Nothobranchius furzeri: one gene and its partners. The protein of the gene in region 1 purifies or fractionates together with the protein of each later gene. This does not show direct contact. Links are inferred from orthologs where the notes say so. Each region holds a gene or a part of one and is shown in the gene's direction. Other genes may lie near its edges.

Region 1 (7,930 bases):
TAACGTCCGCTACTAGCGAGCAACTTGGGAGCAGGAAGAGCGGCTTTTAGATAACGCGTACGTAAATAACATCAATACGTAAGAGATAACGATTATCGGACTTTGATTTGGAGCTGATGAATATCTCAGTTGGGTTGCGTAGGCTGTAGTCGCGCCGCTTCCCTGCTCAGCTGTCGCAACCAGGCTGAGCTGAGTAACTTTGTAGGCGGCTACCAACAAACTACTGGGACTGAGCTGCATTCATGGTGCGTGGGAAAACCAACACGTCCTTTTAAAAAACCCTCTCATTTTTCATTTAGATCACTTACTTTCTCATGTATATCACATAAAGGCAAACGCAGTGTCTTCATACGACCCGTACTATAACATTGAGCTTTATTATAAGAAGAAAATCATGTTCGTTTCGAATTATTGATTTTCATTCAATCGTCTTTTCAAACAGGAAGTGACTCCCCAATTCCACAGAACAAAGTGATACATTGAAGTACACCAGCTTTTTGAAAGCATACCTCTGCTCATGGCTCCTCTCAAGACGTGGAAAAAGATAAACCAAGCATGCATATCCACTTTCTTCCTTTGTTGAAAAAGGTATTCAGGGTAAGTATAGTTCATGGGTGCTGCCACCGTGTTGCATTTTTTAAAACCAGATCGAGCCTGCGTAATCAGTATGTGCAGCTGGTCCCACCAACTTACCCATTCATAATCATGGAGTTTTCACGTTCATTGTCGTCAGAAATTACATGAGGAAGGGCACTCCTGCTGCTGTTATGCTGGGTCTTATTTCCATTGGAAATTGTAGTTCATGTCTGGGAATGCTGACTGACACAACTTCACAGTGTTGACCATGCAAGCTGGGAAATCAGTAGAATTTGCTAGACGTTGGGCCCAGTGACCAAGATCATTAGTTTTAGCAATGCAAGCAACGATAATAAATGTACTGAAACACAGTAGCAACGTGTTTAGTAAGTGGAAAGGACACAAACCTACTTATTTTGAAATAAAAAGGTTTATTGCAGCTATCACAACATTTCACATATGTTGCAGTCAAACTGGTATTTGTGATGGTGTTCATCTGGAATCTTCATAATTTTTAGTCAAAATTCAGTCTTGAGAAGTGTTACCACAGAAGAGGATCAAGGCCACTGAAAAGAAAATGAGTATTCTGACTTTTTGCTCATAATTTTGACTGGTTTTTTTTTTTTTTTTTTTTTTTTTGCTGAGATTTAAAGTCAGAATTCTTAAAAAAATGTAATTCTTAAGACTTCCCTCTCCCCAGCCACTTGAGCAGCTCTTCCGGAGGAACCCAAATGCATTCCCTGGCCAGGTGAGAGGCATAATCCCTCCAACGTGTCCCAGGCCTCCCTTTAGGTTTTCTCTCGGTTGGATGTGCCCGGAAAACCTCACCAGGGAGGCTTCCAGGGCCGCATCAACTGACTCCACTCGATGTGGAGGAGCAGCAGATCTACTCCATGTTGTTTACTTACATTAAAAATAATAATGAAACCTGTCATGCAGGCCTGCAGCACATTCCAAAAGAAAATTAGAACATTTACTTTGGAATGTTGCCCAATGTTCACAATGCTTAGAAGACTGTTTTATTAAAGATACCAGGTGACAATGTTTATCATTGAAAGGGCATCAGTCATCACTGTCTGTCACTTGTGCCCATAGTTGAAAGAATAGGACTTGAAACAGGCTGATCCAGTGGTTAAACCTTTTTCTACTGCTTCAGTGCCTTTTCTAAGATAAGCAAACTGTGCTTTATGCTGTTTAGGTAAAAATAGACTGACTTCGTTGGGAAAAGATGTCTATCTCATTTGTTTTTCTAAATTCTAAAATGTGCTTTTCTGGTTAAAATGCTGTTATTATTTTTCCAAGAACATTGACATGCTCATAAATCTTTACATATCGTGACTTTGGGACATGGGTGACTTGTGCTCAGAAGATCTGTTATCTGTCAGTGAAGTAATACATTTGTAGTGATAATATCACACCAAACCACTTTACACTGGCTTCCGGTAATTTTCAGTATACAGTTAATATTTATAATGCTACTTTTACAGAATAGTTTAATAGTGCGGCATAACTTTGAACTTTTAAACGTTAAAGCAATAATAATAACAGTAATAATAATAATATCTTGAGGATTTTCAGATTCTAAATTTAAAAAAATGAGGGGCCATAATTTTTATTTGGTGGTATTTGGTTAATCATATCTTCTTTTCACATTGGTATTTAATGTCTATATCTAATTCACACTTATTGCTAAGTTGCAGTTTCTGTAATATGATGTTGTTTTGATTTATAACGAACTGTAAATATTAACTTTATTAATGATAATCGAATTTAGGTTGAGTTCTTTCTAAAACGTTTAGAAAACAGCGTCACTAATTTCCTCATGTGGCCATATATGGTATTGTAGCTCACCTCATTTGGCGTTTGAAACAAATCTTTCAAGAGTCAGTAAAATGCCCAACGTGTATTATCGAGTCATCTCGATGACTGAAATGATGAAAGGTATTCAAAAAAGGTATTTAGAGTAGGAGCCAAACCTTTAGAGCAGGAAACATCCCGCCTTGCCCGCTCCCTGCAACTTCCGGGTGAATATATCCGCAGACCAGCGTCTGTTCCGTCACTCCATTTTCCCTCGACCAACCGAGGAGCTCTAACGTGTGGGAGAAGCGTTTTTGCTCAGAGCTGTAACTTCAATCAAAAAACGGTACTGCTTGTTTTAATACATTCATTGTTTATGATATGGAGCTTACTTAGAAGAAACAAATTTCGGGGCGCGTGTTTTTTTAACTACGTGCACATGGTTTCATTGTTCGGGTTGATTTAGAGCGCCTCTAGCCGAGAGTAGGCCGCGGAAAGACGGCAGCCATCTTATTTTTACAGCTATTAGCGCCGACATTTACTCTGCCGAGTTTTTTCCTAAATGTTTGTATATGTTGATTTGTTTGTTTCGGTTCATTGGAAACTAAAGCGAGTTTGGTTTCATTGGTAACGCCTAATTCATGATTTGGTTTCCGTGCTTGCTAATGTTAGCACTTATCGCTAACGGAAACTAGGTCATGTATTCTTGTTCAGCCTGGGGTTGAATTTATTTATTTCTAATAAGATATTAAAATGTTTTATCGGGTCACAGAACACTTTTGTACATGCATCTAGATTAAAGGCCTGTCTTTTATCACATTACTGTGTTTACATGGGCTATATTTTTACCATCCTAGTACGATTTTCTTCATTTAAAACATCCTAGTATGATTTTCTTCATTTAAAACTATCTAACATATCATTCCTAATTTGTGCAACAGGAAGAGAAACAATGCGGTTTTCGCCTAACGGATCTAACTGCTTCCCATTTTTCTCTTTGCTGTTGATCTCAGCTCCAGTCATGCATCGAGACTGTCCCCTAGACTGTAAAGTCTACGTTGGAAATTTGGGCAACAATGGAAACAAGACGGAGCTAGAGAGAGCTTTTGGCTACTACGGCCCCCTCCGCAGTGTCTGGGTGGCCAGGAACCCCCCAGGTTTTGCCTTTGTGGAGTTTGAAGACCCTCGAGATGCAACTGATGCAGTTCGAGAGCTTGATGGAAGGTGAGTGTAGATGTATATTTTGCTGTAAACGCAGAGGGCATCTGAATTAGTTCTGCAGGAGCTAACGACCTCTGCCCTTTGTGATTGGCCACCAGGTCACTTTGTGGTTGCCGAGTTCGAGTGGAGCTGTCCAATGGAGAAAAACGTAACCGTAGCCGTGGAGCTCCCCCTTCGTGGGGCAGGCGTATTCGAGACCGAGATGACTATCGACGTCGTAGCCCGCCTCCCCGACGAAGGTGACCTAAGTGTATTTGATAACAGACAATAGAGATAAATTGTATTTTTAACATTCTTGCTGATTTACTCATCCATCTCTTTCCTGCTGATAACATTGGTGACTGTTGGTCTATCAAAGCCTTGCAGTTTCATCCTCATTGGCATTAGTCATTTAGTACAACCAGCCAAACAGGTATTTGATCCAATTACAGAATTATGCCTTTTAGACAGGACATTGTTTTTGACAATGTAGCCTCTATGTTGAAAGCTGCTTAAGTGTCACGCAAAATGTGACTTTTGCTTCAGACATAAATACTTCTTTGAAGTGTGTACTGTTGTGTGCTTAAAATGTTAAGACTTAAGGTGGCAAAATAGGGCTGTGAATCAGGTTTAGGCAGAAAAGAAAGGGCTTTATTCATAAAAATATGACTTGTTTAAAGATTTTGGTGGATGAAAGTGCCAAATGTGTTGTGAAAAATTCCTTTTTTTTGTTTGAGGATGCTTTATACTTTTTATCTATATTAATAAGAATGAAACCCGTTGCAGAGCCACCACCATGCCTCTTCTCACCACCCTCTGAGTCAGTCAACTAGTCTTCTTTCAGCATCATGTGACTGCTGACCATCGGGCCCCAATCAGCTTGGCTTGTGCTGTCACATGACCCAGGCATGGCCAGTCGTCAGGTTGCACCAGCCCATTGGTTCCTCAGCATGCCGTTCTCAACCTCCTTCTCCTTCAACCTTTAACCAAACGGCAGCGGCCCACATCACATTCCCGACCAATCAGCGTATTATGTTCCCAAAAGTCTACAACCTACCGGCAGCAGCCTTCGGCTTACCAATTAAAGCAGGAATAAAGCCACAACCAGCCCCCATCTGCCTGCCATCTAATCACCTTGCAGCATCCGGCCAGTCCCATTCAGCCAATTCTACCTACCCGGCCGACAGTCTGCCTCCCTTTCGTCATATCTAGCTTGTTGAAATCCAAAAATACTAGTAAGTTTTCCTGCTTCATTCAGTACACTGCAGATTACAGTTTTAACACTGAAGAAACAGCTGGTTTGAAAAGGTTATTTCTTTATCTCATTTATTGGTTTGTCGTTTTATTATCCACTATTTTTCAAACAGGAATGATTTTATATCAAATATCTGGAACGTCATGTTTCCAGAGGTTTTGATATGATAGCTAATGTTCTTTTACTTGATACACACACCATCCAAAACTCAAGCCTTTCTATGACTCAGTCTATGATTGTGGTGTTGGCGGCGACATTTTAACCTGGTTTTTTTCTCAATTTATTTCCTGTGACATATACATCTTTACTAGCCTCCATTTTTGTTTAGGTATTTCTTTTGAAGTGAACCAGTTTCATACAGATGGTGGCCCCTGTACGTTCTTATTTTTCACACACGGGCCAGTCCACAGTACAGTGTTTGCTCTTCTCAGAGCCCAAACCCTCTTAAATTATTAATGGGATTCATTAGACAGTACTTATTACAATTACAAAAGTTACTCATTGTACTGTGGGATAGGTGAGAGGAGATTACTTGACACCTGCCATCTTTATGTGCTAGGTTTACTGCCAGTGGCTATTTTCTGATACATTTTTCTGAGAGGGGGAAAACATTTACTGCTCTTAAATTAGTAAAATAATAGTGGGCTGTGCTGCGAGTCCAGTATGAGATCTACAGGTCGATGACAGCATTTGTTTGGGGTTATAACACTTTGATTTTCCTTGTGCAGATCTCCTCGCAGGCGGAGCTTGAGCCGCAGCCGAAGCAGGTATGTGAACTTTAAAGGGTCGGTCTCGTTCATGCAGGAAAAGTCATGTTGTCACCAACATGATGGTGAAACACTGGTCTGGGTGCTGAACTGTTTATTTAACCTACTAAATCGGAGCTTTATTTATTTTCAGGTCTTTGTCTAGAGAAAGGAGGAGAGAGAGGTCCCTCTCCCGGGACAGGAACCACAAGCCCTCCAGGTCCTTCTCCCGATCAAGGAGGTACTGAGAGCTTTAGTTTATGTCTCAAGTAAAACAAATGTCTAGTTTGTGAGCGCTAGAAATGGTTCAGTCTTAAAACCTGATTTTCTCGTGTTTCTATAGAGTATTCCATAAAGCATCATGTTTTTAAAAGCTTTACCTAATGGACATCTTGTCTTTGCCCACAGCCGTTCCAGGTCTAATGACCGAAGATAAAATAATCCATTAGGTGTAAAGGGAGCTGAAGATGGAACGTTTGTACAGGCTCATCCATTGTTGAGGTGGTTGTCAGCATGACCATGTGATAGTCATTTGTTTTTTTAACAATCATTTTAGTGTCCCTCCTTTTCTTTAGAGTTGCTTTCAGATGCATTGACTGGGTGTGTACATCACCAGTCTGTCATGCCCTGCATTCCAGCGTTAACCTCCTTAAGCTTCAATTTTTCACCAGTTAAATGTTTCTGTGGTTTGACAATGTGGATTGTCTTTTTCACTGTAAGTGCAAACATTTTGTTTTCATAAAGATTTGGAGATGCTCAATTATCCCTTTTTGTGTGAAGCCCACCTGTTTTCAACTTGTATCATTTTGTTGTCCAAGAAGCAAAACTATGACGTTTATTCAGAAGTGTAGTCAACACAAGTCAGATAGTTGACTATTAAGTTTTACATCATTGTGTGTGTGTTTTTTTTTCATATGATATAAACTAGTCTCAAATAAAAATCTGGTTTTGTCAAGAATGTAATGTGAATTTATTTCCCCCCAAATAGTTTTTGGTTTTAGTTTAAAGTTTTGTCCACAAGAGGGCATCAGCTCAGTGTCTCAGAAACAAAGATGCCTCATTCCGCCCCAGTGGTGTCTGGAAAATGGTTTTTGGGGTGGCCAGGTGAGGGCACAAATTAAAATTATATTTTTTTTACAGAATTGAAAAAAGTATAAATCATTTAAATGGCTAACTGGCATCTTTCCATGAGTAAAGGCATACATTTATAATAACATTGGGACTTTTACAGAAAAGAGATGAGGGTGCTCTTTAAAGGAAGTAGATGTCCTTTCCAGGCTAACTCTTAAGTTCGACTTAACTTTCAGTTAAATGGTCATCAAAATAAAGCCTGGTTTGTTTGAATCCAGTGGTCTCATCTGAATTTCAGCAATGTTTTGGAGCATGAACCCTTTATTGGTGAGGACACTGAAACATTAAATCTTCCAACAAAAGTTTTGAGATGTTACATTTATATTTGCTGAGGGCTGGATTAGGATTTAATGATCGCATATTGATACCCTTGTACTAGAGCATCTAACTGCATTAAGAACCTTCCACTAACCTGTCCTATGGTGGCATCTGTTATCTCCTTTTGTCCATTGTCTCTAGAGAGAAGCAGATACGACAAGAACAATACACCTTAGAAATACAATGAAGCACTAGAGCTGACTGATAAATATTACAGCTTTATTCAACCCAGTTTTGCCGAACACATTAATGTAAATTGTCACATAGCGTAAACATTTACAATTATGGGTCAAGTTGGTTTTTCTGCTGTATGAAATTATACTTTGCAGATACGACCATCAAATCATGGACTGCTGGCACAAAGCTAGAATCTAGTTGACCCTTAACAAATTTTTTAATAAAAACGTACTGTATGTATACAGTATGTGCTACAGTTCATACATGTGCAAAAACACCCAAATCATTCACTGAATAGATCAGACGTATTAAAGCAGACAATCGTAAAACATGCAGGGCGAGAACTTCATCTACTGTATATAAATATTTCTAAACTACGAGTGTAAACAGGAGAAGCTATTCTTTACATGGCTTTATACAGTGCTCAGCATAAATGAGTACACCCCATTACATTTGTCAAAAAGCCTTAAGTTTCCTTTCAGAATCAACCTTTTCTATAGGATACCATACTCAAAAATATTCCTACATATGTGGGACATTGATTGCAATCAAGATTTGTTCATTTGCACACAAAAATGTTTTTTCCTAACAAATCCATTCAAGGTCATGTTACAAAAACGAGTACACCCCAAATATAGTCTTAGGAGAAAAGCCACACTTAAAATTCCAAAATTTGAATTAACAGGCATTCAACCACAGGTGAGTCTATTGATTCATTTAAGAGGTGTCC
Region 2 (8,104 bases), on another chromosome or scaffold:
AAAGCAGATGCTTTGATGCTCCACCTGAGAGTAAATCTGTAAGGCTTGTCACCAGCATTCAGACATCAATTCTGTTTGCTTCACAGCCAGACAGGACACACACACACACACACACACACACACACACACACACACACACACACACACACACACACACACACACACACACACACACACACACACCCACACACACACACACACACACTCACACACACACACACAAAAGAAAAAGAAAAGGGAATTAAACTCTTCCTTGCTACAAACAGATGATTACTGCTTGGGCATTAAAAAAAATTGCCACTAAATTCAATTCAATGTCTGAAATTACACCTACCCTAAAATGGGAGTTTTCACATTTGAATGTTAGCGCTTCTCAATACGCTTTGGAAAGCAACAAATAAGAGATCAGAATAAAGCTTATACTAATTATTTAAAAGAGTTTAATGAAATTTTAAGTATACCTGTTCTCAGTAAGGAAGATAAAGTGCGTTTGCACTCATTAAGGGGAAAATTAGACCTTTATTTCCAGAAAAAGGCAAGGGGGGCTTTTATAAGGTCTCGGGCTAGATGGTTGGAACACGGAGAAAAAACTCAACCTTCTTTTTTAATCTGGAGAAAAAACGTGGAGAGGCAAGAAAAATATCTACTTGATATATTAACACTTTGATGGATAATGGTCACTACAGTGGACAGATAATTAAAATTGTTATTTATTTATTTTTGCTATAAAGCACAGCTGTTGAAGACTTTATTGCATTTGAACCCCTCCATTTGTACTTCAGTAAGTCAAGCCAACATATTTCATGTTCAGATTGCACACTGTCCACTGAGGTGGACATGTAATAAATTATTTGTAAATTACATTTTACAAAAAATATGTAAATATGAAATTTGTTTCATTCACACCTAAAGATGAATGAAAAACATTGTTTAAAAAAATCATGGTTGAAGATTTCATAATTCATGCATCAAAGGGTTAATGACAATCTCTCAAAAGATGAAAATGAAATTTCTTCCTTTATCTCTAACTTTTATCAGAAGATACTCATCCTTGTTTGTGCCTCAAGCCTCTCAGGATTTTTTTGATTGTATCTCCCCATTCATTCCTAAAATTTCCGGGGAGAATTGTGAGCTTTGTGAAAGTCAAACTACGCTTGAAGAACTGAAGAAGACTATTACAAAAAAGCCATCTAATAAAAGTCCAGGCCCCCATGGGTTGCCTTATGAATTTTACCAAACCTTTTGGGATGACTTAAAATATATGTTGTTAGAAGCCTTCATGGATTGTGCCAAAAATATGGAACTGACTGTCTCTATGAAGCAAGGTGTAATATCCTTAATTCCCAAACCTGATCTACATTATTTGGATAATTGACGTCCTATAACGTTACTAAATTCAGACTATAAAATACTTGCATCACTATACGCAAATAGACTAAAATTTTGCTTGGAAGAAATTATCTCTGTAACGCAGTCAGGATTTATGAAAGGTCGACACATCTCTAACAATATCAGGCTTGTTTTAGATATTTTAGATTATGGACATTTGTTTGATGAAAAGTCATTGATTTTATTTTTGGACTTCTACAAACCTTTTGATACTGTGGAGCACTCATTTATTTTTGAGGCTTTACATTATTTTGGGTTCAAATAATACTTCAGGAACATAATAATCACTCTTTACACTAATGTTAATAGCTGTGTATGTCTTGCACATGGTACCTCTCCTCGCTTTGATGTGAAGCGTGGAATAAGACAAGGGTGTCCTATTTCCCCTTTCTTATTCTTGAAAGCTGCTGAACTTCTTAATCTTTTCATTGTTAACTGTGTGAATGTAAAAGGTATTAAAACAGGTCAAGATGTTCTAACCATCAGTAAGCTGGCCAGTCATACCAGCCTTTTTCTTCAAAATGATCTTCAAGTCCCTGTTATTATTAAAGCTTTAAACAGGTTCTCGGATGCTTCTGGTCTCACAGTTAATAAGAGAAAATGTGAAATATTAGCCATACATGATTTAGACACCGTATCAATAGATGGCATAGAGGTTAAAAAAGAAGTTAAATATTTGGTTATCACATTAAGCAAATCCTCTAGTGAAAGAATTTCAAAAAACTTCAACCCTAAAATTGAGAAATCTAAATCTGTCTTTAATTGCTGGCTACAGAGGGATCTTACCATTATAGGTCGTGTTTTACTCTCCAAGGCTGAAGGATTATCCAGGTTAGTATACCCAGCTTTATTTTTATATGTTGATAGGAAAACCTGTGCAGCTATTGATTCACTCTTATTTAAGTTTATTTGGAAACATAAAAATGAATATGTAAAGAGGAAAACACTTATTAGACACATTTCAGAGGGGGGTCTTAATGTATTGGATTTCCAAACTATCAACAATATATTCAAAATTAATTGGTTAAAACATTGTCTTTCACATAATAATGAACCATGGTTTTTTATTCCCAATTTTTTTGGTTAACAAATGTGGCGGTTTAAAGTTCTTGCTTTCATGCAACTTTACCTCAGATAAACTGCCTATTGAACTGGCCAACTTTCACAAACAAGCCCTGGACACTTGGAAAATGGCTTTCAAACACAACTTTTCCCCTCACACATGTACTTTATGGAACAATCAACATATTGCTCACAAGAACAAGACTCTGTTTTACAAAGACTGGTATGATCAAGGTGTTATGTTTGTGTTTGATCTTTTGAATGATAACGGGACCTAGCTACCTATGATGAATTCATCCAACGAAAGGGGTTCAACACATCTCTCGCTATGCACTCTAGAATCCTCCAAAGCATTCCTGTTCATTTACTGTCTCTTGTCAGAGCTCCTGTTCAGTATACACCTTACACAGGAAGGATTCCTGCACTGTGTCTTGGTGGAAAGCTTCTTGAAGAGCACTCATGTAACAATGCTCACATTAGAGCCGTTTTCACCTCTCTATATAGTCAGGTTCCAAATTCATTACATCGTTGGAGGGTAATGTTTCCTGACATCAGTAGCAATGCCTTTTCTGAGGTTCAGAAATTTTTTGTCCCCAATAAAGTTAAAGAAATACACTTGAAAATCTTACATAGATATAATCCGTGTAATGAATTTATTAATAGATTTAGACCTGATGTGTCCCCTTTATGTTCCTTTTGCAAAACAGGTGTTGAGTCTCTTACTCATTTGTTTTATGGTTGTCCTTTAGTTGTACAGTTTTGGAATCAATTGTCTTCATTAGTTTGGGATTCTCATAAAATATTGATTACTTTTAATGAAAGTATGGTCTTATTCTTAAACGTTAAATGTAACAAGGAAGTTAACAATGTAATAAAATTGCTGTGTCTGTTGGGTAAATTTCACATTCATAAAGTCAGATTTCTACAGACTATACCAAATGTAACTTTATTTTATATTGTTCTTAATTTTTTTCATGAGACTGTACGTAGAATTAGTAAAAACAAGAAAGCTGTGAAAATATGCAACTTGATGAATTCTATTATGCCCCATATTACAAGGTAATGTATTAGTGGAATTTTGTTTTATTTTATGTTATTTTGTTTGTATATAATTATTTATGTTTACTTTCATTAACAGTGTTTTCTTTTTCTTCTCTGTTTGTCAATGTATCACACCCTGTACATCGATGTTGTTTTGTCAATATATTATGTCTTGTCTGCTGCAAATGTGTCAATAAAGATTGTTTAAAAAAAATTGCACCGTAGAAGAAGAAGCGCGCTGAATTGTCGCAGGATTCAGCGCAGCACCACCTGCGGTTGTTTGCTGCAGTTAGCGCCATGGCGGCAGTGCGCAGTTTACAGGTTAAATCAGACAGCGGTTCGGATCGCTCGGAACCGAACTCAGACTCCGAGTCAGATCGAGATGCCCGTGAGGCCGAACCAATGGAGGTGGAGGAGGGAGAGCTGGAGGCGGAGGACATCTCGGTTAACCGCTCTCTGAAGGAGCTGCTCCCGGTAAGTTTCCGACTAGGCCTCGATAGACCGGGGACTCGCGTGTGCCTCCCGCCGGCCGAGCAGCGGGAGGCGCCGGCGCTGAAGCAGCGGCTCTCCCCGGTTAGCAACCGCGGTTTCTGTCTCCGTTTAATGGCTTTGAAGTCAAAGGTTTCGTTAATGAAGAAAAATCACAATTTAAAATCTACTTGTTTGTAGTCCGAGAGATGAATAAAAGCCAGGAGTTTGTTTGTTTCTGTCAAGGGTAGATGACACAAACGTAAACAATACAAGGTGAGGGCTCCCCCCGGGAAAGCTCCTCAGGCTGATTCTGGATCTGCTGTTTTCAGGACACCAGCCGGAGGTACGAGAACAAGGCCGGAGCGTTCATCACCGGGATAGACGTGAACTCGAAGGTACCGGAACCGGACACACCTGAGCTGGAGAAACACTCCTGGATGTTTTAGTGCATCCTGCGAGCAGGTCTAACAAGCTGAGGCTTCTTCATGATTAGGAGCACATTCTGGGAAGGGCGAGCTTTCATCTGAGAACTAGTTGTTCGAGCTTCTCCTCCTGTGCCAGGTACAGCGGTGCTTCTCATGTGACACACAACAGCTTGCCATACCTCATGATGGATGGGAGCAAGGATCAGCAGTGACCACCGCTCAGATAAAACCACGTCATTTTAAACATTCCAGATGATGAAGGCTCAGACTAACAGATCTACGGCTTACTGGTTTGAGCAGGGTCGTCAGTCCACAACCCAATCCTCCTCTGACCGCTGGGTTAGGGTTAGGTTGCTCTAGATAATCGCCACCCATCTTCGAGTTGTCTGTTGGGAACGCCGTCTTCTCTGGAACAGCAGCTGGTAGTTCACTTATGCCCATGTAGCCTCAAGTACCCAGAATGCAATGCTGTGATGTCACGTACCACCTGTACTTCAGCGACAGCAGGTGCTGGTTTGTTGTTTCTTGTCTGTTCCTGTTGATTGTAAATGTTGCTCTCATAAAGGACAAGCTCAGGTCATTTTGTGAAATCTGAACATAATCAGGAAACACTTTTAGCTCATATTTGATCATTGTTAATGATTTCAGTTGTAAAAGTGATCTTCAAGTCTCGGGTATCTGATTGTAGGTTTTGTTTGTCAGGAAGCGTTTGAGAGGAAAGAGAAACGAGCAAGACGTTTCCACTTCCGCTGTGAGGAGAGCGTTGGTCAGAGGAACGTCTTCCTGGATAAAGATGCCATGAAGAAAGGTGTGAGCCGGTGTTCTGTTTCAAATCATTAACAGCAGTCTGCTTGGGTTTATGGAACTGTAGCTTTCTTCTTCTGTGGTGCTCAGCCATCTTTAAACTGCGGATGGAGGCGATCCATGTGAGTGGTGTGGACGACATGAGCACGCAGGATGTGTTCGGGTACTTCAGGGAGTATCCTCCAGCCCACATTGAGTGGATCAATGACACTTCCTGTGAGTAACGAACATGAGAGTAACAAAATGCGTTCTGCTCCAATCAGAGCAGAGGTCCAGGACAGCAGTGCTGCTCAGCAGCATCTCACCTGTCCTGTTGTCGCCTAGGTAACGTAGTTTGGCTGGATGATGACACCTGTATCAGAGCTCTCATCAACTCCAGCCAGATGCCCACACCAGAGGTTGTTGTCACGGAGACGGAGTCCAGCGAGCAGCCGGGCAAACGGAACAAAAGTGGGTCTGAGTCACGACTGAACTGAACATGTCATGAAGGTGTGGTGCATTATAGGTAATCTAATCTGTTTTAACATCACAGCTCGACGGGTTCGAGGGTCGGAAGAAGAGGATGATGATGATGATGATGAAGAGGAGGAGGAGGAGGGAGAGGTGGAAGAGGAGGTGAAGAAGAATGGTGATGAAGAAGTGGACCAGAACAGGAAGGTGGATGGTGGCCAGGTAGAGCGTTTACTGTGATGTCACAAAGTGACTCAGCAGTTTGTGTGTCACCAATGACTGACTCAGCGGTTTTTGTCAGGTGGACGACTTGTCAGCAGCTGAGAGGGAGTCGCTGCTGAGGAACGAGCTGAGACCTGCCATCAAACCGTTTAAAGGAAACAAACTGTTTCTGCGCTTTGCTACACAAGGTCTCATACACACACACACACACACACACACACACACACACACACACACACACACACACACACACACACACACAGTCTCCAAAAGCAAGACTGCTCGGACCACTTTTATTCAATCCATCAATCAATCAAAGCTTTATTTATAAAGCGCCTTCCGCAACCCTGTCAGGAAGCCCAAGGCGCTGAACATGGCACAGTAGAAGTACAAATATAGTGAATAACAAATGCTACCCGGCCCGGACCGACCCGGTACAGATGGGAACGGCCCATATCATATCTGGGTGGCCTGGTATTTTTCCGGGCCAACCAAGGCTCATTCTCAGCCCTCTTCTCGAGGGGGTCTGCTTCAGGCCGACCAGGGCCAACACGCCCACTGCTGACAGCAAATTCACACCTTCCATTAGAGCAAGCCTCTGATTGGTGGGTAGAATCAGCCCACATGGTCTTAAGACAAGGATGTGTGGAATCAACCGGGCCAGGCTGGGGCCGACTGGGGCTACCCGGCCCGGGCCGACCCGGTACAGATGGGAATGGCCCATAACTGAGGGTGGCAACTGGTTCCAGAGAGATGGTGCTAGGACTGAGAAAGCCCGGTCCCCGCGAGTACGACACCTAGAACGAGGGACAGCGAGCAGGCCTTGTTCAGAGGAGCGCAGAGCGCGTGATGGGGAATGTTTGTTCAGGAGAGTGGCCAGATAGGGGGGAGCAGCACCCTGGAAGAAATGATAAACAAAGACGAGGATTTTGAATTGTGAGCGATAGCAAACCGGAAGCCAGTGCAGGGAGGCCAGAACCGGACTGATGTGGTCCCGTTTCCTGGTCCCTGTCAGGAACCTGGCTGCGCTCTTCTGCACAACCTGTAGGCGACGCAGTGATGACTGGCAGGAGCAGCCAGGTGGTACCAGCTCCAGCAGGGCGCTTGAGTCACCAAACGGGATCCAGGACTCACAGATGCAGAGAAAACCCAAGCCATGCTGAATAAAAAAATCCAGAAGTATAAAAGTTTTGTTCAGCACAGACCTGGCATTGACCAGACCAAATCGGGTCTGCGGCGGGGCTGCAGCGCCGAGATCGCGCACGAGCACAGTCTCCTTTAACTCTGTGCCCGTAACCGAGCGCAGATTCTCCCAGCAAACCCCAGTCTGGCGAGATCTTCGAGCCGATCGGCCGTGGCGCGGTGCCAGTTCACCCTCAGAGCCGGCCAAGTTCCCTGGGCAGGGTGCCGAGTAATCCAGGAGACATCTCGGAACCACCGGGTCAGAAGCTGGGCCGAATCGGGCCAGCCGCTTCTTCAGGGGCCCAGGCCGACGTCTCACGCGCCGGCTACCTCTCTTTCCCCGTCTTCTCCGATGCTTCCTTCTCGAGCTGGGGCGGACAGAGGGCCGACACATCACGGCTTGGGGGGAGAGAGCACACGGGCAGTCCGACCAGCAGCGCCATCCGTGAGGTTCCCAGCTCGCGGAGCCCGCTACATCAACGGGAGGATGAAGCCTCAGCAGCGCGGCTCGATCATAAGTCAGCAGAGGATCCACACCTTTCAAAAAAAGCATCAGAGACAACAAAAATGCATAAAAGCCAATAAAAGCCAGTAAAAAGCAAGGTACCACTGCGTAAAGAGGACGAGCAGCTTGCAGCGTGCACCCGCGCGAGCGCCATCTTAACTCTCTCTGGAGATGCAGCGGACTTCTCTGCGCTCTTTTTCCATGCTTGGAAATTTGCTCGTGACATCACACTGTCCTTGTTCTCAGTCACGTCCGCTTTCCTTAGGCCAGGGTTCCTGTGGGGTTTTAGAGTCTAAAAAGGTCTAAAATTCATAAATTTAAGTCCAGACGTAGGGCTGCGCAATAAATCGAAAATTTATCGTTATCGAAATTTCTGACTTTTATCGAGATAAAGTTTCCCACGTCAATAAATTTGATAATAAAAATGAAAGATGTGTGTAGGTTGGCAGCGCTCATGTCGCTTTAAGATGCTGTACCACCTTGGGTCAGTAGAAATGTGACTCAAACATGTGACAGCCCCATCTAGTGGACAATTATGTCCCCGTGTATACCT
Region 3 (7,854 bases), on another chromosome or scaffold:
CTGGATGTCATCGGCATAAATTTAAACTTCGTTTTGTCACAGACTATGCCGTTCAGATCTTCCATGATGCTCTAAGTACAGGTCACCATGTGTGCTACCTGCGTCCTGACACCCGACTTCCCATGATGCACATCTCAGACTGCCACCGTGCCACTGTGGAGTACATGCAGGCTCCAGAGTGCCAGCTATCGCTGCGGACCTACAACATAGATGCCATGAGCTTCACCCCAGAGGAGGTGGCCCAAGAAATCCGCAAGCATCTCCCTCACCTTAAGGTCACTTACAATCCAGACTCTGTGCGCCAGACAATCGGTATGATGATAATTTAACTAATTAACCCTCCCACGGCCCTAATGGGTGTGACCCTGCGAGGAAAGTTGACCATTGAGCAGGGTTGATGGTTTATCCCTTGGGGTTCATGTGGCAGGGGTGAGGAGTGAGCACCACCTCACCCCTGCCACGTAGACCTCAAAGGATAAACCATCAATCCTGCTCCATGGTCAACTTTCCTTGCAGGGTCGCCCATAAAGACAGTGGGAGGGTGAAAGCTGGAACAGTATTGTGAAAGTAACACAGCTATAAGATATTTTGTCACTTTGCAGCTGACAGCTGGCCTGTGAGATTTGACGACACTAATGCCAGGAGGGACTGGGGCTGGAAGCCGGCCTTTGGGCTTGAGGAACTCGTGTCAGATATGCTGAAATCTGTTCGCGACAAGAGGATCATCGAGGGCTTTCCAGTCAGCTAGCAAAACCTTCCCTACAAAGACCGACCCAAGCTCCATGGATGACCTTCTTTCGTTTACCATTGGTTTTCCCCAGCAGTTTCCAGTATTTGTTCCTGCATAATCACGCCAATCTTTTAGAAGTTGATTGTAAATAAAGAATTCTCAGTCAGAACTTCTCAATATGTCATACTCATCTACAAAGTCAGGATTTCGCAGTCTAATTCAGGGAATCATACATTGTTACATATCCTCATCTTTGTTGTTTCTATTTGTTATTGCATTATTTCACTTTACACATGAGAAAGTGCCTCAACTGGGGTTTTAACATATTTTAATGCATGACCACAACACATTGTAGCAGTGTGTGTCCAAGGCAACGTGGACCAGGTGTTCACTGGAATGGCTCGCTCACATCAGTCTGGACTACCATGCTGTATTCTGCCTGTTTCACTGAACATTATTTTGTAAGATGCCAGAGACTATAATGTAAAAATAACACATCACTCAGATGTTATACATGCAATTACTCTTGTTACATATTTTGAAAATTATTTTTAGGCTCTAGAGTGACTTTGGTTCGAAAATAATATGATATGCATTGGAATAAAAAAATGTATAAAATGCAGTGTATGTGGAACTAAGACTTACTAATAATCACAGATAATTCAAGTGTTGTTTAGACAAAATAAACAGACTTTTGTACAATATTTCAAAGATGTGCATTTTGTGGTAAAAATTTAATGATCACAGAAAAAAAATTATTTATTGTTTCCAATATGTGCATAATCCATAAATTATTAGTAAAGAAAATATATGGTTGTTTTTAATGATTTTTGGTGTGTGTGTGTGTGTGTGTGTGTGTGTGTGTGTGTGTCTGTGTATTGGTCTACTATTTGTTTATTTAAGGATCCCCATTAGTCTTCACCATAGTGAAGACTATTCTTCCTGGGGTCCACATCATTAAAAAACATTTACAATAGTACATATACAGTGTAAGAAAAAGAACATACAAAACATTTAAACAAATGTATCCATTAATAAGAAAATTCAGCAAAGATAAAATCATTCAAATAAGAAAATACCAACACCCCCCCCACCCCACCCCACCCCCACCCCCGGCCAGTTAATAACTATAATTCAATTCAATTCAATTCAAAAATACTTTATTAATCCCAGAGGGAAATTGATTAAAAACTAATTTAAAAGCCCACATCAGTCATTTAGTTTTAAGTTGTTATGGATGACCAAAGTCTTAAGAATTTTCTTGAATCTGCCATGATTATTTATTAATGCCACTCCTGGAGGCCGGATATTCCAATATGAAACAGCTCTGTAAATGACTTCTCTTGAGGGCATTCGTTTTTGGCAATGGAAGGGTAAAGGTTACTTGGGAGGCTCTCCTTGTGTTAAAACCATGTCTTTTACATGTCGGTAGAAACTTTGTGAACAAACTGAAAGGTTTATGTGATATCCAAGTTTTCTGCAAAGAAATAATCAGGCTACAGACTAATCTGCCATTTACCTTCATCCAGGACAACCTGTGATGCATCCAGTTGATATTGGTTGATATCTGCTAGTATGTATTGGAATGTCTGTATGAAGATTTGTCACCAGGAGTGTTTAAAAAAATACTGTCTATGTTATGAGGGAGGAGCTGCTCCATGCCAGCCCAGGTCCTACCAGCAGCAGATCTAGGTGGCCACAAATTCTCCAACAACCAACAGCTCCCAAAGAACCAACACTATTCAGCCATCCCAGATGATGGGATGAACCCAACCTGGGCAAGAAGGGGAACCAGCCTGAGGACGAAAGGACACCAGCCTCCAGCCAACGGGAACCCACTTGGGGCTGTCAGTCCTGGAGTCCCAAGCCCAGCACATCATCATCACGCCAATGCAGGTCAGCCAGGAGCCAGACAACCCCATTCCCCATTGGCCTAAACTCCACAAAGGGCTACCAAGCACAGGGGAACCAAACCAACATAGCAACCCTCGCCCCTTGCAGAGGGAGTGTAACTGTACCCCCAAACCATGGAGATGGTGAAGATTCTGACTCCTTGTTTTCTAAATATACCAGTCCTAATAAATGCCACTTAGAGGTTTCATGTATTCAATGTATATGGTTTACAGTAAAGTACTTTTAAATATATAAAAACGGAATAAAAAATGTATGAACTGAATAAAATATGAAACTGATATATTTAGAAATTAATGTAAAAAATAAGAATTGTCAATAAGTGGAAAGAAATAAAAAATGACGCGGGCAAGCGCAGTACTCGTTACATCCTGTAGGGGCTCACTCTGCATCCGGCTGGCCACTCGAGCTTCACCAGAGGGACGCACTTCTTTCTCCGCAGCGCTTGAAACAATCGATTTTCACCGAGAATGGACGCGGGATTCTTCCGCGTGAGTGTTTGAAACAAACATCTATCATTTTTATAAATTTGTGTCGCGCTGAATGTTAATAAATTGGCATTAATATCCCGTTTACAGTTTGGTCGAGGGCCACACTTGATAGAAGCGGTGCGGTAATGGCTCCGTCTATCAACTGATTTTGAACGATTCTGCTATTTGTAGTCAGTCCTCTTTTCAATGTAGCTAATTTGGAAATTAGTATTGTTTTTATGAAACTGATAATTGTATTATTTTGAGCCCGTGTTATGTTATTTTACTAACGCATCTCAGCATTTTTGGTATAATTTTCATATAGTCTTCTCAGGAATTAGACAGGTCCGTGCAGCTAAATTGTTGGCCTTGGCTTAAGATGGCGCCCGGTGTTGTGCCTAAACGAGCTAGTCACGACCATGTTACGCCAACGTTACTTTGGTACATTTAACTTTCGGCTTATTGAAGACTGACACCATTCAGACCTTTAAGAGCACATTTATATCGACGCTGTTATCGTTGACACCGCTTTCTTGCTAATGTAATCTTCCTTGTTAGTACTTAGCAACCGGCTAGCTAGCTTGTTGCTAGTTCAGTGTCATGTGTAACCCGAATACACTAATTTCTATCTGTTGAATATTTTAGGGTACGAGTGCGGAGCAGGACAACCGTTTCAGCAACAAGCAGAAAAAACTACTGAAGCAGCTGAAATTTGCAGAATGTTTGGACAAGAAGGTATGTGATCTCCTGATGGTGATTAAACTGTTATTCTGGTTATTTCTCATCATATAGCATCCAAACATGTGGTGGTCAGAGGGACCGGTAGCACCTCATTTTTATCATTGAGCCCCAGGACAGTTGTGGCTACATTGTAGCTCATCACCATCGGCATGTGAATGTGTGTGTGATTGGATGAGTGATACACTGTAGTGTAAAGCGCTTTGGAGACCTCTGACCTATTCATCATATCCCAGACAAACCGTAACAATCAGAGGTTTTTCTGTTCTGAATGTTAAATGAAAACAAAAATTTTCTTTTAGGGCCGCTGAGACATATCTTACTTCTCCATATGTAATCTGCTTGTGTACGTCAATATTTTATTTTGAATAGGATTTGTTGTAGAGGTTGGATTTGTGGCAAATACCCAAGTAAAAATCCCAAATAAGTCTGTTCCTTGTGTGACCTGACATCTGTAATAGATATAACCCATTAATGTGACTATTTTGCATAAATGCATTTGGTAATTGCATCTGAGTGCCTGTGTAATGCTGCTTATTCCAATAAAATGAGTATAAAGATGATCACTTTTTAAAAATATTGACTTGCCTGTTTTTTCTCAGGTGGACATGACCAAAGTCAACTTGGAAGTCATCAAACCGTGGATTACCCAACGTGTGACAGAGATTCTTGGCTTTGAGGATGATGTGGTCATTGAGTTCATATTCAACCAACTTGAAGAGAAGGTATTGTTTTTCCTCTGTTTGTTTTATTTTTTTTCTGTCAGAGCTGTTGTAATTCAGGGCATTGCTTAGCCAGCAAGAAGGGATGTTAGTAAAATAAATGCACATCCTAGTCAAACTGAGAATGAATGGGTAAAGTAAAAAATAGTTGGTTTATTTGTGTAGATCTTGTTTTGCTGTTATGTGACAACGTGCCTTTTTATTTAGCAGTCTTCTAATGATGATGTGATTTATGATTTAAAAGGCCTGAACCAATATGGATGTTATACCTTGCATCAGAAGTATAGCACCAACATCTAATTAGCTCTCTCCTGAGCCCAAAGTCTCTGAGCCCAACTCTCCCTTCATGATGCAGTGTGTGTTTTGAGGTGAGTTGTATATAGGGATCATCTACATCTTGTCAGTGAAAGACACAACTGAACAGTTCCATTATCATATTCTCCGTAGGCATTTTTAGATGCCAACTACCTTCATTAATCCAGAAAAGGGTTTAGAAAATGCCATGGTTTATTTTTAAGTATAAAAAATAAAAATTTGTTTTAACCCTGAAAAGTATTGTCTCACTGACCACCCCTGATTGCAAGTTTTGCATCAGTTGCACTTCTGTTGAGTATAACGTGCATTCTGTTGCACTTTTATTTAACTGCACTCGAGAGTTGCTGCGTTTCCATCAAGTTGTCTATTTTAAACAAATCTCATAGATGTTGACCTACATGAGGTACATGCTGCATTTCTTTGAGTTAATAAATGAAGATGTGTAGAAAGAATATTTTTCAGTTCTGTTGGGGAAGGCTGAGAATTAAAAACGCCAGCAGCCAGAAACAAATAAAACAAGCTAAATTAGATGCTTCTTTTGTTTCCCTTTTTGCCAAAACTTTTATTTATTTATGCATGGTTTTCCCCAAATAACTCTGTTAGTTTATAATTTTACAGGATGAACAGTTTTATTCTAATAAACCTGAAATATTTCATAAAACTCAAAATAGAAATGAAAAATATGTTGATGGAAACCGTTTATGGTCTGTGTTGAAGGCGAGCAGAGTGCATTACTATTGCAAGTAGAGAACTTCAACCACAGGAGGTCAGCACAAACGAGATTTTCTACAGAAACAATACTTTTCAGCTTATTGCTATAAAACCTGATTTGTAATCATTTCAGAATATTCATTTATGTCTCTTCTTTACCATGTATGTTATTTTATTTTTAAATACTTTCTAGTTTTAGACTTTTTAAAAACTTTTATGATCCAGTGGTAACCTCTTAAGCATGTGAGACCTCTGCATAGTGACCAATAACTTGCAAATATAACATTTTTTGTTCTTTTGCTAAATCAGCCTGAGGAATAACGTCAGAATACTTAAGTTCCCAAAGTACCTGATTGCAAGTTTTGGCATCTATTCAAACTGGCCTTCTTTTGAACTTTGGCTCTTTTCTGCTAATAGAAATGTAATTGTGTATAAATGATACTAGTATGATGTTTACATAATTTCTATTCTATTTTTGTTTTTTCCTAGTTCTTAAAGCTAACTGGGGTGAAGTGGATTTTGTGATAGAATAGAGATTACAGTTTGGCTAGTTTTAACACTTGTTTTAATAAAAAATAAAGTTTGTGTGTAACTGTACTCATTATTGCTTGTTCGTCTCTTGCAATTTAGATAAATGATATAACATTAAGCTCATGGTGGTTGAGTCTCAAGCAGTAGGGAGGCGGAAGCAAGCCAATGGAGCTCCGTGCCCACTGATCCCACGGGACTCACTGAAGACACCGGAACTGTACTTGCAGTGTTGGGTTTTGATGCACTCTGTATTGTGGTTATTTGTTTAACCCCTGAAGTGTAGACTGTGGGGAGACTGGGGCAAATGGGGCGGGGTAAAAAGTAGAGCAGTAGTACAAATATGATCACAAAATGCTGATTATTTTAAAATTATTTAGGGATTTACAACAGAATTATTGCATGCAGTTTTTTGTTTACATTGCTAGAAATGTCTCCCCTCAGCTAACTTGCATTCTCAGTTTCAAGAGTTCAGTACAGACTGAGTAAATAATTAATTAAAAGTTTCTGAGTCCAGTATTGTAGACGGCATTGTGTATGATTTAGATCTGGTTAGCTAGATTATCCCAGGTTTAGTCTAGACAGGGATAGATGGTGGGAAGCCCCATGTGTGGGACCCTGCCTCCTTTTTATGTTTTCTATTATTTCAACGGCTTTGTCTCTTTTTCTTTCCCCCTTTATTGTGTATGTTGCAGCATCCTGATAGTAAGATGATGCAGATCAACCTGACAGGGTTTCTGAATGGCAAGAACGCCCGTGAGTTCATGGGAGACCTGTGGCCCCTGCTGCTGAGTGCCCAGGAGAACATTGCTGGCATCCCGTCTGCTTTCCTGGAACAGAAGAAGGAGGAAATCCGACAGAGACAGGTGATGCGTCTTTAGAACCTCAGAACTTTATATGAAAGTGCACTTCCTCAGACTTTACGGGATAAACAGACACTATAAATGGAGTAAAAAGAATGCATGTAAAATTTTATTTTATCCAAAATAAAATCTTCATAAAAAACAAATTCATCTTATTCAATAAAATGTATTTATTGCCACCCCTATACAACGTTGACAATGTAATTAATCAGGTAAATAATACGTTTTAATCCTGATGGAGAACGTTTTGGAAAACACAAAATTTTACACTTGAGGTACATTTTATTTTGAAAACGGCAGCTTAGTCCGAGTTGTCCATGTTTGTTAGTATATTATTCAGCTATAGTTTAATATTTGACAGATTGAACAAGAGAAACTGGCTTCCCTGAGAAAGGTGGATGAGGACAAGAAGGATAAAGACACCAGAGAGAGGGCTCAGTCCAAGAGCCCAAGAAGGTGGGAGGTTTTTGTTTTAAATGTGAATCAAACTTCTTCTGTTGTTAAATTTACTATAGTGACATAGATTATCCCAAAGGTATAACATGTTTGGAACTAATTATTGTTTGATCACGATCACTGGGAAACATCCGTTCATATTAACGTCTGTTCTGTTCCTTTGGTCAGGAGGAAAACCAGGTCACCATCACCACGACGAAGGTCGCCTGCCAAACGGGAAAGAAAACGCAGCCCGTCACGCTCCCCAAGACGCAAACCCAGTCCGCTCAGTGCAAACTCACCCGCCCCACCTCTGATGCAGTCTTCCACTAGAGCCTCACAGCAGCTTGTTGAAGCTGATACTTCAGAGAAAGAGCCGACTGAGCCGGTTATCCAAGAAGCTTCTTCTACTGGGTTTGTGTCTCTGTGTG
Region 4 (7,922 bases), on another chromosome or scaffold:
CCTGTTAACTGTGTTGGAGAGGAACATAACAACTAGGAACAAAGTTTTGAAAGCGCAAGAGGGTTAAGGTTAGGATGGGGGTGAGGGGAAGGTTAAATAGCAAAAGTGTAAATGTGAGAATTCTGTGAAATCTCCGTTTTACCGTGGCAGTCGGAAACCGACACTCTGGCACAGCGCGTCAAAAACAAACACTTGGTCACCCAGTGTCATTTTTCGCCGCTTTGGGTGTGAGATTGAGTTGGTTTTCTACGTCCAAAGGTCTTTTGTTGTCCTTAACTTCAAATGGTGTTTTACTTTTTTGTACTCTGGTTGCTTGTCTCATGGACGTAATTTTTTTTTTGGGGGGGGGGGTCATGGGGGACATGTCAATTGGGTTGGGTTGACATGGGGGACATGTCCCCCCCAATTTTTCCAAAGTCAAGTTTTGGCCCCTGCACTTTTTACCATCCAAAAACAATATTACGCTATATTAAATTGACACTGGTTGAGCTATAGGACCAAGCCGAAAACAACCGTTTGTGTTGAAGCCTGTTTCCCATTAGAGCATACTGTAAAGATACGCCCCCCCCCCCCCCCTCCTCCCCTTCCCCCGTGTCCCCCTCACTTCTAAAGTGAAAATTACGTCTTAAAGTTGAAATGGAGGGTTGGGGTTAGTGGCTGTTTCTCCTTCTCTGATTCTATTGAGCGCAGAACCTCTCACAACAGTGGTGTTCTGTTTCTAAATACGCAAGTGTGTATTGAATGGAGGACCTGAGATTGTGCAGTGGTTCGGCAGACCGACAACTGGATGGTCCAATAGTTGTTTTCATTCGAGCCGTGTTATTAGCAGAGGTTTTTAGACAAATGCGAGAGAACACCTTTATAAAAATTTTTTAACTCCACAAAATATTTATAGCTACAGTATACTATGTTAGAACGTAAAGAGGCACAAAGAAAATGTTTTAAGCTTATTTGTTTTCCACATTTGCTATAGTAGCTTTAAGGTAATCACAGTGGTTGTCCATCCCTCTATGACCACAGTGGACCAATCTTCTGAAGGCTACTTTCAGCAGGATAATGCACCATGTCACACAACTCGGATCATCTCTAACTGGCTTCTTGAACAAGAAGATGAGTTATTTCAGCAACACCAAGAGTCACAAGATCTCAATGCAGTCCAGACCTTTTGGGATGCTGAACAGGAGACTAATTGATTTAATTGTGATGCTATCTTCTCAATATGAACCAGAATCTCTGTAGAACATATCTAACACCTTGGTGAGAAAAGGCAGTTCTCAAGGTTAAAGTGGGTCCAACTCAGTAAGGTGTACCTGAAGTGGCCAACAGATGTACAGTAGATGGATTTTAAAATGCATTTTCATATATTCTAAAAACTAGTTATGAAAAGTCAAAGATTTGTGGTGTTCCTTAACTTGAACCTTTTTGCTTAGAAAATCAGACATCAGCTGAGTTTCTCACTGGATCCAATTAACAAAAATAACCAATAAAACTCAGTCCCATGGACTTGAGTCGACCAAAACTTAGTACTAGCCGGTGAGGATCCGAACATGAAGCTTCGGGGGGAGAAAAACAGAAAAACGTGAATCAGCGCGCACTTCAAACACGTGCGCCTTCGAAATGAACACGTGTGTGATGTGTGTGTTTTTGGTTTAAGGGGGGTTCGTATTCTTTTGCTCGCTTTTTCTAACGGAGAGCTGAAGTGAAAATAAACTCAAACACACTCCTGACAGACAAGTAAGCGTTACACAATACTCATGATGTTGAACAAAGTAGAAGGTGTGCTAAAAAATGAGCGTTTCGGACTGGTAAAGGAAGTTCTGGACTGACGGGATTAATGCTGCGTTCAACTTCATCGGAAATCTTTGACGTGGAAGTATTTGAATCTTGTCTGAACCCCAAGCTGCGTGTACCAAATACTTTTTGTGATATTATTAGATATGCAATAGTGGATATGACTCCACTAAATAAATAAAAAATGCTCTAAAGAACTTTCCAAAAATTTCTCAGTAAATCTTTGAAACTACCTTTAAAGTAAATGACATTTTAGTGTGGCTTATACAAGTTATTTTAGGAACTTTTTAAAACTATACTACACAATATTAGCAAACTATACAATATTACATTTCTCACCAGGTCCAATAAAAAAAGTCATATTGGTCTCAAGATTTATTTTATTCATCTTATGAAAACAAACTATAGGCAAAAAAAATCCATTACCTGATTGCAAATCGATAATGATTCAATGAACCAAGAGTGAGAGAGAGAAAATATAAACTATGAATGTTAAGTATAATATGTAATAGCACTTGGAAACTAAGACTTGTCACTTCTGCTCCTGCAAAGAAATTTGTCTTTGATCTTAATTTATGCAAAACATCATTATCAAGTGAAATTAAATGTAGTCTAGATGTCCATAAAATAACATTCACATGAAGCTGTTTTAACGCACCAAAATACTTTGATCTCGGCAGCGTTCCAACTAGCTGCTAGCTCATCAGTCTTTAAGGGTGTAAACTCTGTTTCTCTGCTGTTCAGAAATCTATTTTTACTATCAATAACTTTTACACAAAATTTTATTTATTTTTATTTAACCTTTATTTAACTAGATGAGTTGATTGAGAACTCATTCTCGTTTATGGCGATCTGGCCAAGAGGCAGCAGCAACAGACACAATTACACCAAAGAGCAACATACAGATAAGATGAAAACAAACAAGATAAAAAAAAATGTTAGACATAAAGACAATGGACTGTTCGCAGTATGCACAAGCAATTACATTCGACTTAAATCAGTCTTTAAGTAACATAAACATAATTCAAGATGGCCAAATGATTCAAAGAGAATTATGAGCCTTAAAACAACCAAAAAAAACCCATAAAACTCCGATACATTTTCGATTCTCAAAGAAGTTACAGACTGCAACTTTGCAGACACGATTTTTTACGAATAGCTCCTGAAAGCATCATCCTGAAGCGCGCTCCCTGCGTTTACGTGGCTACTCCTCCTCCACAGCGTACGTGCGCGCACTCCTCTATCGCGTGGTAGAGATCATCCATATTGCTGCTAGTGGTGGTGATAAGGTTGTAATCCTGAGAGGCCCACTGACACGTTTCTGTAGTTTTTACATGTTTTAACTCGGCGCTGACTGCTCCGCGTCTTAGGCTGAAGCTCTTTTGGTCGAGGGGCGACAGAGGAGCAGCAGACCGCGCGGAACAACTTCACCGTTCCCTGAAATTGAAAGCTAAATCGGACCAAAAAGGGGGAGTTAATAATCCTGAAGGGGGAAGAACGACGGTTGGTCGGAAATGGCCACTCAGGTGGAGGCTCTCCTGCCCGGCAACCCGCTTGCCACAGCGGAGGAGCACGGTAAAATGATAGACGGTGAGCCGGAGGAGTTGGAGGGCAGTCGGGATGAGGGGGCCCAGCAACTGCAGACTGGTGTCACCGATAGCAGCTCCGTTCAGGGAGGGACCACCGGCGCGGAGGAGCAGACCTCCAAACGGGCGGTAGAGCAGAGCAAAGACGGAGGTGACAGCGAAGGCAAGCAAAGCGAGGAGGGTGTAAAAGACAACAGCAGGAAGGAGTTTACCGAAGCTCCCCCGCCCAAGGTGAACCCGTGGACTAGGAAAATGAATGCGGTGACCGTGGTCAGCGTGAACGGACAAGCGCACACCGGTCGGTACCCTCCAAACATGTTCATCTCTCAGCTGTCACTCTTCTCTTCTTGGTGTCTCTATGGTCACGTTTGGTCGCTTTCATCCGATGGCTCACTTAGCTTTTATTCAAATAGCCAATTAAAAAGACTCCCAGCGCTGTCACTCTCATATTTGGAGTTAAACCCCCATCCTCCCCCTCACAGTGAAGGCTATTCTTGGGGTCAATGGGTGGCAGACTGTATAAGTAGGCACACCCTTTGAAAACAATTAAAATACTCCAAATATTCAACGATTTGACGTCGCTCTATGAGTAGTGAGTCATAATGGCTCTTGTTTACTTTTAGCATGACTTAAGGTCTAAACAGTCATCTTCTAACACACTTTGAAAGGTGTACTTTACTAATTAAGCTCTTTGTGCTGTGGATGTGAATGTTTGTGTCATCACACCACACAACGTGCAGTCGTTTCCATTCGGGGACCGTGGATTCTAGCATTCTAGTAATATGCATTCTGCTTGCAAACACTTGATACTTTATTTTAAAGGGGACATGCTAACAGCTCTTGTGTCTTCGTGCTTTGCTCATGTATTGCTGCTTTGATTCTAAACACACGCACGCACTCCCATCGGCTTAGCCGAGTGTTTAGACTAGTTTTTGCTTGTGTTTACATGTTCGTTTAGAGCAAACCCATCACGCCAGCCATTATCTGACTAAGACGCCCTCATTGCATCAGTTAGCAGACTAAAACTCGAGCCAGTACGGATTGTGTAGCAGCTCAGCCGGCTAACAATAGCACACAGACTCCCCTTTGGCCTAGTCTGTCGCCAAACCCTTCCCACTCAGCCTTGCTTCAGTGTGGCTGCTTTCCCACATCTAGCTACGGCGAGAAAATCAAAACAGTTGCTCTGCCTATCTGGGATCCGTTTTCGATGCAATAAAACCAAACATTTACTCGTTTAATAGCTTAAAAGAAGCAGGATTGTTGTGAGGCGTCACGTGCTCATTCCACGTGTTCCCCGAGAGAAAAAGCATGGTGCTAACTAGTTAGCCGAGTTACTGCATCGAGTCTGAAGCTACAATTTAGTTTAGAGCATAAAATTTGAGACAGTCTGCCTGTCTAGTGGTCACAGAGCCAGCTGTCATGTCGTGTATCTGTTGTCAGGACAAACCGAGGTCCTGTCTGTTGGTTCACACTGCTAGCTAACGTTAGCTTGTTAGCAATTCAGCAGAGTCATCATTACCTCTACTTAAGGACGCTGTAGTTACTATTACCTGTTTCTTTTGGATACCTTGTGAAGTTGTGCTACAATAAAAACCGACTGATCAAAACTAACAAAAATGGTGATTGTAGAGAAAAGTCAGTGTTAAGGTGCAGATACATATGGCTAAATATCTAGTGCTGGGCGACACCACCTCAGCATTATTGTATCCCAAGACAACAAGATTTTGCTCGTTTAAATAACACAAAACAAAAGTGATTTAAACTGTTAACTCTCCAGGAGTACTCATAAATGTCATCTATGAAAAAAATGACCTCACAATTCAAACGCAAATGTAAAAAAAATAAACGACTACATAAGCAAACTGGCTGTCAAGAGTATAAACATGGTTTGGATCAGCACAAAACCTCTACCAAATCATAGTAATGACAGAAGCTCAAATCATGCACTGGTCTTTATAATAAACGTTTTTATTGATTGATCATCGTAGTCATTTGTTTACTTCCGAACCTTATTACAATTCATGTTTTAGCTTCAAGAAACACTTTTCCTTGTTTGTTGTGTAGTGCTTATGTGGAGCTTTGTTTTGTGGTTAAACCACTTTAATTTTTTAGTATTTTCAGGTTTTAGCTAACATGCTGTAGCTGTGACCTGCTAGCAGCCTGGATTTTCTGTTTTTTGTGTTTGTTCCAGATGGGTTTGTTTGCAGCTATGAAGTACGTGTAACCTTTGCAAACTTCATGGTACAGACTGTACCCAGGATCTGAGCGAATTGGCTCCAAACGCTGTCACATTAACACAGACTGGTTGGGCCAACCAGGCAGTAGAGGCACTCTTTGTTTTTGTTGTATTTGAAAGCCAAAAGATGTTAAAATGCACATGATGACCTGGTTTGTTGGTTCTGTGTGCAGAAAAGTTGTTCTCAAAGGTTTTATTTTTCCAAATGGGCAGCATTTATTTAGAATTTGAGTGATTTTTAGAAATACTGGTGGGTAAAATTCTGCACCCTGTTGTTTTGCTGTCAACCATGTTCTATGTTTAGAAACGGGATGTGTAACATTACCAGCTGCAACTGTCAGCTTTTCCCTCACACACTTCATTCAAGGCTGCCTTTGAAAATGACAAATAATCTGTAATATCCCATATTTATGTTCATTTGGCACAAAATTATTGAAAATGTGTGCATGCCAAAGATGTACAGTTGTGCAGTTTTTCTGCTCTGATCAAATACACATACATGGAGGAACTAAAGTATTTGAACACCCTGCGATTTTGCAAGTTCTCCTAATTAGAAATCATAGAGGGGTCTGAGGTTCACACTGTAGGAGCATTCCTACTGTAAGACAGCATTTAAAACTTTCAGGAAATCACATTGTATGTATTTTAAAGAATTTATTTGTGTTGCACATAAGGATTGTAGCCCACTCCTCCACACACACAGATCTCATCTAGATCTGTCAGGTTTCACGGCTGTCGCTGAGCAACAAGGAGTTTCAGTTTCCTCCAAAGATCTTCTAGTGGATTTAGGTCTGGAAAGTGTCTAAACCACTCCAGAGCCTTGATATGCTTCTTACAGAGCCACTCCTTGGTTATCAGTCTGTGTGCTTCAGGTTATTGTCATGTTGGAAGACCCAGCACGACATATCTTCAATGCCCTTGACTGAGGGAAGAATTTTGTTTCTCAAAATCTCACAAACCGCTGCCTCATTCATCTTTAATGCAATGCAGTCGTCCTGTTCCCCTGCAGGAATGTTCCCCCAAAGCATAATTTTTCCACCTCCATGCTTTACAGTAGGGCTGGTGTTCTTGTGACCCCCCCCCAAAAAATAAATAAAGCACTGCAAGTTAGGGCTGTAGCGAAGCCTCGACGAAGTCGACGGCTCGATTCTAAAAATTTGTCGACGTCAGATCCGGAAGTTGACGCACCGCGCCCACTTGTTGCATCCTCAGGAGTTTGTAAATAGAGGAGGAATCTGCCTGCTTTTCCTCTAGTTCGCCTTCTTCTCCGCCTTCACTAACATCTCCGCCAAATACCGAAGACCCGGAACAACGTCCGTCCTCTACTAGATTATTTTCCTGTTTTGCCCCTTCGTCTCCCGGCAACGGACAACAACTTCCGGGGTCAGATGCGCTGCTTCGTGCCTACCGCAGATGTAGAAAATCACTGGGAGCGTTTCTCCCTTCATTAAGGAGCTTCTTTCAGACATGAGGAGAGCTGTTTTGGTGGTAGCAGTCTCTCCTCCGTGCTGGTCTGTTTGCTGCTGGGTGTTTTTGGTTTATTTAAACTTGGTAACTTGAACTTAATGTTGGTAAAGCTACTGTTAGCATCTTCGCTAACAGCTTCTTGCGTTGGGATAAGCTGTTACGTTTTGGTTTAGAGTTCATCTTTTTTGTGGTGTAGATCTCCCTTTTATTACATTTAGAGTGATGTGGGTTTTCGGTTTAGTGTAAAATATCACCTGAGTTTGGTTTAACCCGTAAGACCACTCGCCTCACGCACATAAGTGACCAAAACAAAGCAGCATGGAGACACTCCATCTTCTACCACCTCTCAGGCAACAGCCTGCACTCCCAAGTTCTACACGTCACCAGAACATAACCAACCAACACAATAAAAGCAGTGTTATACAAAATGGAAGGCCTGTAGTGTTTATTCTCTTACAGTAATAATTTATCAATTTTTTTGAGGAATTTATTTGAGATTTTCTGGTTTTTGTTAATTGTGCAATAGAAAAATAATCATTAGATTAATTTTCTAAATAGTGATTAGAATAGTCGACTATTCAATAAAATAATCGTCAGAATAATCGTTTTAAAAATAATCGTTTACCCCCAGCCCTACTGCAAGTAGAGTTCATACCCAAAAGCTCTGTGTTGGTCTCATCTGGCCACATGACTTTCCCCCATGCTTCCTCTGGATCATTGGCAAACTTCAGATGGGCCTGGACATGTGATGACTTGAGCAGGGAAACCTTCCATGCAATTCACGATTTTAAACCATGACCGTGTGGTGTTCTACTGACAATGACCTTTTAACCTGTGGTCCC

The links. The genes of interacting proteins can lie anywhere in the genome.
Region 2: the proteins of srsf3b (region 1) and ncbp3 purify together in Homo sapiens (co-immunoprecipitation; 3 studies listed by BioGRID and IntAct, with this or other methods). This does not show direct contact. The link is inferred for Nothobranchius furzeri from reciprocal best matches to the Homo sapiens genes SRSF3 and NCBP3.
Region 3: the proteins of srsf3b (region 1) and srrm1 purify together in Homo sapiens (affinity purification with mass spectrometry; 3 studies listed by BioGRID and IntAct, with this or other methods). This does not show direct contact. The link is inferred for Nothobranchius furzeri from reciprocal best matches to the Homo sapiens genes SRSF3 and SRRM1.
Region 4: the proteins of srsf3b (region 1) and larp1 purify together in Homo sapiens (co-immunoprecipitation; 3 studies listed by BioGRID and IntAct, with this or other methods). This does not show direct contact. The link is inferred for Nothobranchius furzeri from reciprocal best matches to the Homo sapiens genes SRSF3 and LARP1.

What each region holds. Positions count from the first base shown.
Region 1 is NC_091743.1:46,708,971-46,716,900, reverse strand, and holds srsf3b (serine/arginine-rich splicing factor 3b), read left to right. Parts: upstream 1-2,583; 5' UTR 2,584-2,719; intron 2,720-3,386; 5' UTR 3,387-3,394; coding exon 3,395-3,597; intron 3,598-3,692; coding exon 3,693-3,833; intron 3,834-5,556; coding exon 5,557-5,595; intron 5,596-5,728; coding exon 5,729-5,815; intron 5,816-5,982; coding exon 5,983-6,010; 3' UTR 6,011-6,532; downstream 6,533-7,930. UniProt on the Homo sapiens protein: Splicing factor, which binds the consensus motif 5'-C[ACU][AU]C[ACU][AC]C-3' within pre-mRNA and promotes specific exons inclusion during alternative splicing.
Region 2 is NC_091750.1:26,048,462-26,056,565, reverse strand, and holds the start of ncbp3 (nuclear cap-binding protein subunit 3), read left to right. Parts: upstream 1-3,254; 5' UTR 3,255-3,789; coding exon 3,790-3,966; intron 3,967-4,292; coding exon 4,293-4,358; intron 4,359-5,090; coding exon 5,091-5,196; intron 5,197-5,282; coding exon 5,283-5,408; intron 5,409-5,516; coding exon 5,517-5,642; intron 5,643-5,724; coding exon 5,725-5,864; intron 5,865-5,943; coding exon 5,944-6,052; intron 6,053-8,104. UniProt on the Homo sapiens protein: Associates with NCBP1/CBP80 to form an alternative cap-binding complex (CBC) which plays a key role in mRNA export. NCBP3 serves as adapter protein linking the capped RNAs (m7GpppG-capped RNA) to NCBP1/CBP80.
Region 3 is NC_091758.1:35,725,444-35,733,297, reverse strand, and holds the start of srrm1 (serine/arginine repetitive matrix protein 1), read left to right. Parts: upstream 1-3,004; 5' UTR 3,005-3,111; coding exon 3,112-3,132; intron 3,133-3,756; coding exon 3,757-3,846; intron 3,847-4,451; coding exon 4,452-4,574; intron 4,575-4,812; exon of another isoform or gene 4,813-4,939; intron 4,940-6,820; coding exon 6,821-6,991; intron 6,992-7,349; coding exon 7,350-7,444; intron 7,445-7,612; coding exon 7,613-7,837; intron 7,838-7,854. Other genes in the region: tdh2 (L-threonine dehydrogenase 2), read left to right, coding at 43-312, 603-748. UniProt on the Homo sapiens protein: Part of pre- and post-splicing multiprotein mRNP complexes. As a component of the minor spliceosome, involved in the splicing of U12-type introns in pre-mRNAs. Involved in numerous pre-mRNA processing events.
Region 4 is NC_091750.1:54,200,369-54,208,290, forward strand, and holds the start of larp1 (la-related protein 1), read left to right. Parts: upstream 1-3,072; 5' UTR 3,073-3,305; coding exon 3,306-3,675; intron 3,676-7,922. UniProt on the Homo sapiens protein: RNA-binding protein that regulates the translation of specific target mRNA species downstream of the mTORC1 complex, in function of growth signals and nutrient availability.